Neurospora crassa OR74A: one gene and its partner. The protein of the gene in region 2 interacts with the protein of the main gene of each other region in a biochemical or structural test. Links are inferred from orthologs where the notes say so. Each region holds a gene or a part of one and is shown on either strand. Other genes may lie near its edges.

Region 1 (4,458 bases), about 3.5 Mb from region 2:
CGGTGGCGTCGGCGAGCTGGTCGTCCGCGGCCTTCTCTTCGGCTTCCACTTCTTCCGTGATAGTCTCGGGCCTGCCGAGGGACTTGATCCATGGGTGCATCAGCAACATCGGGTAGGTGTGGCGCTTGGCAGGGATCTTGTTGAGACAGGACTTGACAAAGTCCTGTGCTGTGCCGGAGTAGCCCTCACTTGGGAGGCCGGGAGGGTCGCCCTCAACGATGGCCTGGATTGTTCATTCTGTTAGCTTGTGTGTACGCTTCAGGGATGAGGATAGGGAAGCAGAAAGAAGACCTACACTGAGTTGACTGAAGATTGTGCTAGAAACCTCAGGCGGGTATGGGTATCGACCCATGGCACACTCGATAATGGTGAGACCCAAACTCCAAATATCGCTTTGTACGCTGTAGGTCCCGGCAGCCGCGCCGCCCGCAGCTGACATGCCACCACCGCTGATGCGTTCTGGTGCCATGTAACTCTGGCAGCCAATGTTGGTCTTTGCTATACTGGCAACGAGATTTCCCGAAACGCCAAAATCGCAGATCTTGACTTGTCCATTCGTGTTGACCAGAATATTGGTGGGCTTGACATCGCGATGGATGATGTTGTGATCTTCTTTTAGACACTTGAGGCCCATGATCGTTGCATATGTAATCTTGCGCAAGACATTTTCGGGGATACCTCCGGCATATAGCTTGTCTATACTGCCGCCATCCATGTACTCGATGCACATATATACCGCGCCTTCTTGGTAAAAGGCGCCGTAGAAATCAATGATGTAGGGCGAAGCGCACTCGTGGAGAATTACGAGTTCCTTGAGAATAGTGGAAAACTTGGATTCATCCAGCTCGAGTCTGATCTCTTTCATCGCCATGACCTTGCCTGAAATGCCACGCGCAGCGGCAGTGACAGGACTTAGTGGCGAGATATCGGAAACGTCAGCATCTGATGCCGACGCTTGTCGAGATAAAGACTGCTTGGTGTTCAAGCCTTGCCCAAAACGTGGAAGCTTGGGCTTACTATGTCGAACTTTGTAGACGGTACCATAGTTGCCCTTGCCTAGCTCGTCCATCACTTCGACCTCGTCTAGCGAGATTCTGAAGGTCTGTCCGTTGGCGAAGTTGACGCCTGTCCGTGTGATGGTTGCTGCGTCTGCGAAAGTTATCCACCCCTTTTCTGCGTCGATATAGTTCTTGAAATCGCTCAGCTTGGATCCGCGCCCTTCTCCATTAATGGCTGGCGCTTTGGCGTCTTCGGCGCCCATGTCTGACAGTTTCGGCGTGGCAGTCACCGGCGACCCAGGCCCTCCTGGTAGCCCTCCGAGCTTCATCGCTCGTCGTTCGCTCAGACTGGGGGCCTTTTTAGCTCCCAGACCGGCTATGGCAGGTGCGGATTTGGGGAAGCCTTGGGGCGGTGGTCGTGCTATACCTGGAGGTAACCGAAGGCCGCCGGGCAGGCCGCCGGGTGCCGGACCGCCGTGATTCATGTTCAAATTCATGCTGTGTCCCATGCCCCCCATACTTCCCATCCCGCCCATGCCCGATCCCATAGGGCCCATACCCAGTCCACTGTTCTGCGGCGACATGCTGGGTCGGGGAGCCATGCCCATCCGCTGTTGATGCAGAGCTCGTGCCTTTGCCATGAGGTCCGTTGGAAGATTTGCTGCGGATGCCGCAGGTCTTCGTGCGGCATTCAATGTCCCAGGAACACTCGAACTAGGGCTCATTGAATTCGTGTGTTGCGGGTCGGAGATGGTCCGTAATGATGGCACTCTGCGAGGCAGGTCGCCTTCTGGTGTGAAACCAGGCATCGCATCTGAACCTGAGCTTGGCGGGTCCATGGGCGTGCTTGCCTCAGACGACTCGTCGACTGAGCCTGGCGAAGCCGGGTTGCTCTCATCGTCATATTCATTTGGGCTAGCTGGGCCGTGATCGGGATCGTGGTCCGACATGATGCTGGCAAGTAGTTTATCTTCAGCGCTGTGCGATACTAGTTTTTTTTCTTTCTTTTTTTGCTGCTGGCGAGTGCCAAAGTGTTGGTCGACGGAAGGTCTTTAGCAATATGCGGCGCAAACTGCTATTGATGTTGAAGCGGCTCTGAAAAGAGGGGCGGCAAAGGTATGGAGTATGTCGAGGCAGCGTGGGAGAAGCGATTTTCTGGTCGAGAGGCAACTCGAACAAGAGGTTGGGTCGGTATAGTCGTCGTCGTCGTCGAAGGGGAGGAGTTTTCGTACAGGTTATGTAGGAAGGGGGAGAGGGCGTCAGAGAAGAGATAATCGAAAGCGCAACATCCAAAGATTTGGCTCTGGTCTCGCAAAGAGCTGCAAGGTGACGATGTTCGCAACCGATGACAAAGCACCACGCTACGATGGCTGGCCTGCTATGGATTGACGGGTGAGCGGGCAGGCCCAACAGAAAGTGAGCTAGTAATGGGGGTGCAAGCTAGGGTAGGTGGTAGATAGAGAGCTCTGAACACGGCTAAGAGGGACAGCGGCTGAGACTCGCAGGTTCGTGAACATGGGGTGTGATGGTGGAAGCAAGCCGTGGCTCTCGCGCGCGCGCTCTCTCTCTCTCTCTCTTTGTGAATAGAGAGAGGTAAGAATATGAACGAGGAGGAAGCGGAAGAAAAGAAAGATAACGTACTAGTCGACGTAGGTAGTGCCCGGCGGAGTGAAAGGTCGATATCGACTATGGACCCGGTCCAAGATCCAGTCCAACTAAAGTAGGGAGGTACCTCAGTAGGGGACACAAAATGATGGAGGTGAGGTGGTATCGACGTTGGCTGGCGGGCGGGTTTTGGATGTAGGACTTCACCAACTTCTTGGTTGAGGTCACTCGAGGTTCCTAGGCTGGAAGGTCAGGTACTGCTGCCGGCGGGCATCTCATCACTTCAGCGGGCGGGCAGTGGGCACCTCCAAAGCACTGCCTGGGCAAACGCCGAGCAGCACGGAGCAGGGGCTTTTGCTCCGCATTTCGCAAAAAAACGCCCCTCTAGGTGGTCCATGCCTTCCACTTCCCATCAAATCCCCATTTCCATTCCCGGTCTCCCGTCCCAAGCTCGCAGGGGAGGAAGAGGGAATGCGATATGCCGAGAATACCTCTAGTGCCCCAATCATCTGAGCTAACGCTCCAAGGAAAACGTCCCAGAATTCGCTTCGCCCACCGAGCATCGTCTGTCCGGCTTTTTTCTGCCAACCATTGAACTCATGAGGAGGCTTGTATTGGTCCGCCAATATACGGAGCTTGCTCCAGCTGGTCCGCGGAGTTGCGGGCACCTGACCAGGTCTTCACTATACTGCGCAGTTAGCCACGACAGTGTCATCCTATCCCATTACCGGACACAGACAGTCGACAACGAGGTCGGTCGACAGGAAAAAAAAAAAAAAAAAAAAAAAAAAAAAAAAAAAAAAACGAAAGACTGGGCACACCATGGGCTGCAGGGGATTTGCCAAGGTTTTACGACTCGCTGCACAGTGTATCGCAGGTCACGGTACTCCTTGGGTGAATAATTTCCTTTTCGGCATATAAAAAGGAACGATTAGGGCCACAGGAAGGACGAAGCAACAGCAGCAATATCACAGAGTGCCGCTTTGGCTCCAAGTGGACATGGAAGACGAGTTCTATGTCATGTCGTCGAGTCAGGTACGATATTCGGCACTCGGAAGAATCCGAACGAGCCTGCTACAAATGTGAAGACCGCACTCAGCAAAATTCCAAAGCTTGGCATCAAGTCTGCGCAGCCAGTCACGACAACCATCACCAAAGAGGCACGACTGTGATCATGGACAACGAAAGCTCTAAACGATCTTTTTCGACGCGCTGATTTCACATTCATGCGCGAGGATCTCTCATCGGTCCCTACACCCTCGGAGCTAACCATAGTCAACACCAGCACCTAACCTAACCCTTATACTACTAGCCTTGAGGTTTTTGTGTGTGTTGTACACCTCATCTCCACACAGCCGTCCGAGCGGCTCGCGGAAGAATGTCAAGTTCAACGCCCAAACCCACTCAGATGCCGTACACTCCGCGGCGTATAGCGGGGAAAGGGAAGGTACACCAGTTGACGCCAAATGTCGGCGTGGTACTTGGAGATACCGCATTTCTTGGTCCTGCTGGTGTTTAGCAACTTCCATGCTTCAGAAAGGAAAGTGGGGCAATTGGAGCTAGGGATCTTGAGAAATCTTGCTATGACGTTGTCTCCTGGATCATCCTGCCTGCGCCGCGGGAAGTCAGCGAGAGAGCCAGCGAGAGCCAGCCAAACAATCAAGTCACCTCCCAGGCCGGGGGTGGGGGAGGCGGGGGAAGGGGACCATTGACGGGCTACGGTGTGTACCCATCTGCATCGGGGGGATTGGGAGTGGACAAGAGCCGTGGTTCGCGCGCACTTGCATGTTACGGCGGGAGCTATTGGCACCAGACAGCAGCCAGTCAGCCAGGAACAAGACCACTGCCCGGGTTT
Region 2 (4,601 bases):
GCATTCGCTGCCGAACCCGAACGGAGTCTAGGATCTGTTTATATCGCTTGGTCATCTCAGGCACGCTTTCTTTTGGCCTTCGTTGAACCTCCTTTTCAAAAGTTTGGCTCAGTCGGTTCCAGGCTTTGTAGGTTAGAGAACTGAACTGTTCCGCGACTTCCACATCGCCGTGTGCCAAGTAACGCCCGATTTCGTTTCCAAAACCCCACTCTTGGAATAGCAGTTCGGCCTCCTTGAAGGTGTTCTTGTTGCCGCTGAGCTTCCAGTTCAACAGTTTGAAGTAGTACTTGAGCGCCTCCAGGATGACACGGTCGAAATCCTCATCAATACATGGGGGCAAGTCCCAACCGGGCTCCGGTCGAGCGATTTCCATGTACTCGCGCTTAATCTTGATGGCGAGCTTGAGAAGAACCTGGAACTGCGAGATCATTTGATCCTGCATCATGGGGTTTTGTTGTGCCGAGTCCTTCATCTTCTTAGCATAAGCCAGCCGCATCTTGATGATCTCCTCAATGAGGCGTGAAGGGAAACTGATGAGGGTGAGCAGCTCCTCGATGTAAGGCGGGAGATGGCGCTTCTGGAAACCTTCGGCATTTTGAATAAGTGTGTCCTTGGCCTTGGTGATGACACGAGAGATGCCGTCGAGTCTGCTCTTCTTCTTTAGGCTTTTCGGTTCGGAGCCTTTGTCTTCGTGCAGTGACTTGAGACCCTCCTCCTTCATGAGACGATCCAGGAAAGATGATTCATCGCTGAGACCATTCCCGCTGGGTGATTTTTCCTTGGTGCGGGAGAAGTCGAGAGCATCGTTGCCGACCCACTTTTTCAAGATCGACAGCTCTGTGTTGATCATCTCATTGACGTTGTACCATGATATCACTGCGTCGCAGGTCTCCTGATAGGCCGAATAAACACCAGGCTTGAGGGCGGTCATGAGTTCCCTACTGGACGGGTAGAGGCTCTCGATTCTTTCGATTTTGTTAACCACATCGCGAACCTGTTCAAATGGCGGCTTTCCTGCCTCGCTCTCTCCAGCAATCGCAAAGTTGATAATGTCGTTAATGGAACGGTCCAGCGCTGCACGGGCATCTTCGACGACCCGTTTCTGGACTGGCAGGTGTCGACCACATAGCCTTGCCCGAATCCCAAGCCACAGCTCTACATTGTGAGCTGACTTTCCAAAGGCCTCATCATTGGAGCCAATGAGACGTTTCTTCTCTTGCCGCACAACATCACCGGTGAGCACAGCCTCCAGCATGCCGTGCCATTCTAGTCTCTCGCGGCTCTCGGGATCTCTCAGGTCTTCCTCGGTAATCTGGATATCCTCGTTACTGGCGAACATGATATGCGCATCATCGTAGCTGTCGAACGCGCCCTCGGAAGATGGCGTCTCGCCTTCGGAATCGGAATCGTACTGCTCGCCGGAGCCGTAAGCGTCAAAGTAGTCGTTGTTGTAGTCCTGTTGTCGTAATCTGCGCACATATTCTCTCTCCTGGGCTCTGAAGGTTGAAGTGCCGGCCAAGGGGCGTGGTCTGGAGCCATCACGGGCGTGGGGATTATTCGCCATATAGGACGAAGGCTGACCTTGTGGGGGCCTGCGCTGGTTGTAGGGCTGATAAGTGTTGGAAGGCGTCCTGGCAGGGGCGGTTGGGCGCTGTGGTCGTGACGGAGTCCCATTGGCATACGTCTCTGAGCTAGCACCGCGGCGACTGCTCGATCCATTGGCCAGGGGCAGGGAGCTGGTCAGGGACCCGGGCACCAGAGAAGGCACCGAGCCAGAATGACTCTCGACATATCGACTTAGAGAACCCAGCTCGTCAATCTGCTCTCGGACGTGGAGATCATCGTGGGCGTCCGTTGAGGGATTGGAATTATCCGAGTCGTTGGCACGGGGGTTCGGTCGGGACACGGTCTTGTGCTTGTCGAGCCGGGCAATCGGCTCATCGTCCGTCTGCGAGAAGCGCACAGCACGGGGAGAAAGCTCGCTGGCCATGGTGGGTTGAAGGGATGGAATGAGAGGTTAGATGGTCGATTGTTCAGCGGATGGTCGTCAACTGTTCACCGCCCAATGCGATACGAGGCCGTCCGTCCCGGAGAGGTCGGTCGCGGCCGCGGTCGATGGCGGTGTCGATGTCAATTTCGGAAGACTGGTATCAGTCAATGCCAGTGGCTGTGTGTGCTGTGAGCGTGTGTGTCTGCGTCTCGTGCTCGGCGTGTGGTTCAGTTGTTGGAAATGATGGTCGTCGGGGTCGTCGTCTATCTGTGGGAATCCTCGGTGGTCGTCGTTGTCGATGTCAAGTCAAGGAATGTATGTCTCGCTAAAGAGGCTGCAGCAAAATCACCCACTGCTTGGGGAAACAAGGCTGACACCAGGGCCCTGCTTGTCCATGGGGTGCAAGCCAGAATGAGGGGAGGGCCGTCAGAGCTCGATCAATTGATCGGGTATGTCAGCGAGCGGCGTGAAGAATGGAAAAACGGCTGTATCCAGTGTTTCGGGTTCGAAGACTGTCGCGGCCTGGAGCCCCTAGTGGCGGCGGAATAGGGGGAGTCCTTGCGTCGAGATGGAAGTGGATGAATGCAGCGATGCAAGCGACGTCCACGGCGGTCCCGGCCGTCGTCACCTCAAAGGTCAATTGGGACCTGGGCGCTTTCCACTTGTTCAGGTCGGGGTTAGGCAGGTCAGATAGGTAGGTAGGTACAGTACTACCACCAGAGTCCGTCCGGCTTAGTCCAGTTTGGTCCGTGCCAGGGGCAGTGCGGTAGTGCGGTCGAGGTAAGGAGCAGTTGTCAGGCGGTCTGTCCTGCGAGGTAGCACTGGTCCCACCATAGAGATCGATATCGACAATGGGGCCGTCGGACAGCAGTAGGTGCCTAGTGTGTCGCCGACAAGTCAAAGGAGAGAAAGTTCGTGATAACTCTGGAGCTCTGACAGAGAAGGTGGAGAGAGGTGAAAAGTCCTACTTTGCCGAGTAGAGGTACAGGTGCATAGGGGGCAGCCCAGATCGAGGTAGGTAGGTACCACTGATTGGGCCTTCGGCTCCTCATGGCTCAAGCTGCCCCTGTACCTTCTTAATAATCCGGGGTGGGTTTGACAGGCAACAGGAATGCAAGTTGTGGCCCGACGGCACCCATACAAGCACACTGCAGGCCAGCTCGGCGGGGGTTAGGTACGAGCGGGCAGCTAGCTCCGTCCGTCTGCACTGATGGCACTAAAGAGCCCATAGTGTACACTAGTACAACAGGTAGTGTAGCAACATCCCAACGGTGACCGACTGCCCGAAATCATTGGGGACAGGTTGTGGAGATTGGCGGAGTCTTGGTGTTGGTGTGCTTCTCTTGGCTCTATCAGTCCAGCTCGTACAGCCTTGCCTTTGTTCGCGAACCAACAGTCTCTGCAGGCCATGTTAAGACAGTTGGGAACAGCCTTGAAATGAGGAGGCCTTACTAGGTGGTGATCACGGTGCAGCGGCAGGGGGTGAAGCAGACCTCGGGAGCAACCCTGACCTGCAGCATCGTGACTTTCACCTGCCGCCTCGCTTTCTGGGCAAGAGCAGGAGGGACATGTTGATTGCCCCTGGTAAAGACTGGTGGGTTGACTGGGGGTGATGCGGTCGAGATGGCTACAGTAAGGTAGAGGTAGTTATGGCTGATCTTTGCATCCGATCAAGGGCGCATGGCATTCTAAATTCCCTTGCTTTGGCTCGACTTTGCCTTTCTACTTGCTTCCTCCTGGCAACGTTCGTCGAGCAGGCCGGAAATGAGATGACGAATGGAGGATTGAGTTCTGCGTGCACTAACGATATGATGCGTTCTGACCAGGTTTGTAGTTTTGGCCCAAATAGGCAATAGGAAATTGTCTAGACCTGGATAACGATCCCACGGTTTGGTAGCCAGTCACTGCCAGTCCCGGTCGCGCAAAAAGCAAAACACGTGCGACAAGGCTGGCCGGGCTAGTAGTGCGCGAGCCCTCCACTTCAGAGCCGGAGTCTCCCAAAAGCGCCCAAGATCTCAATTCTGTAGGGGAATCGGACATTGGACCCAGCCGACATGATCGATCGAGAATTGCCACCGCGTCCATCAACGCACTTGACCACAACATCGTGATCGAACCCGAGGTTGACGAACCATCTAGACCACCTTGCCATCGTATCTGCCTGGGAGATCCAAAAGAATGGGAATTCTGAATTGTCGTATTCGATATGAGCATCTTGAAACAATAGATAAAATGTATTTGACCGGCTATCTCCCCGTCCAGCGTGCGACCTTTGATTGGATCGAAGCTCTGCTGTCGTTGCTGTGCAAGAGTCGACTTTTGTTGGGTGAGATCGATAGTGGGAGCAGTGCCGCAGAAGCTCTCAACCTCCCCTGCTGTGAACCCGCAAGAAGACTGACGGAATCCAAGCCTGCAAGCTTCTGCTAAGCCACACGGGATTGCGGAGCACGCCGCAGTCTTTGTAACTGAACCAACTGAACCTAATCAACGTGATCATCTCCACATAGACTCAGTGTAGGTACATGGCATTGCGTAGTGTATGTAATGTAGCGTAGGTACTGCGTAGATGTGGCGGGAGCTTGGGCTACATGCGCCTTAGCAGCGCACAAAC

The links.
Region 1: of the proteins of os-4 (region 2) and os-5, one has a biochemical effect on the other in vitro, tested with the Schizosaccharomyces pombe proteins (2 studies listed by BioGRID). The link is inferred for Neurospora crassa OR74A from reciprocal best matches to the Schizosaccharomyces pombe genes wis4 and wis1.

What each region holds. Positions count from the first base shown.
Region 1 is NC_026501.1:7,912,040-7,916,497, reverse strand, and holds the start of os-5 (mitogen activated protein kinase kinase), read right to left. Parts: upstream 2,845-4,458; 5' UTR 2,640-2,844; intron 2,377-2,639; 5' UTR 1,949-2,376; coding exon 296-1,948; intron 224-295; coding exon 1-223. UniProt on the Schizosaccharomyces pombe protein: Dosage-dependent regulator of mitosis with serine/ threonine protein kinase activity. May play a role in the integration of nutritional sensing with the control over entry into mitosis. It may interact with cdc25, wee1 and win1. May activate sty1.
Region 2 is NC_026501.1:4,445,132-4,449,732, forward strand, and holds the start of os-4 (MAP kinase kinase kinase SskB), read right to left. Parts: upstream 2,952-4,601; 5' UTR 1,991-2,951; coding exon 1-1,990. UniProt on the Schizosaccharomyces pombe protein: Involved in a signal transduction pathway that is activated in under conditions of heat shock, oxidative stress or limited nutrition. Unlike win1, it is not activated by changes in the osmolarity of the extracellular environment.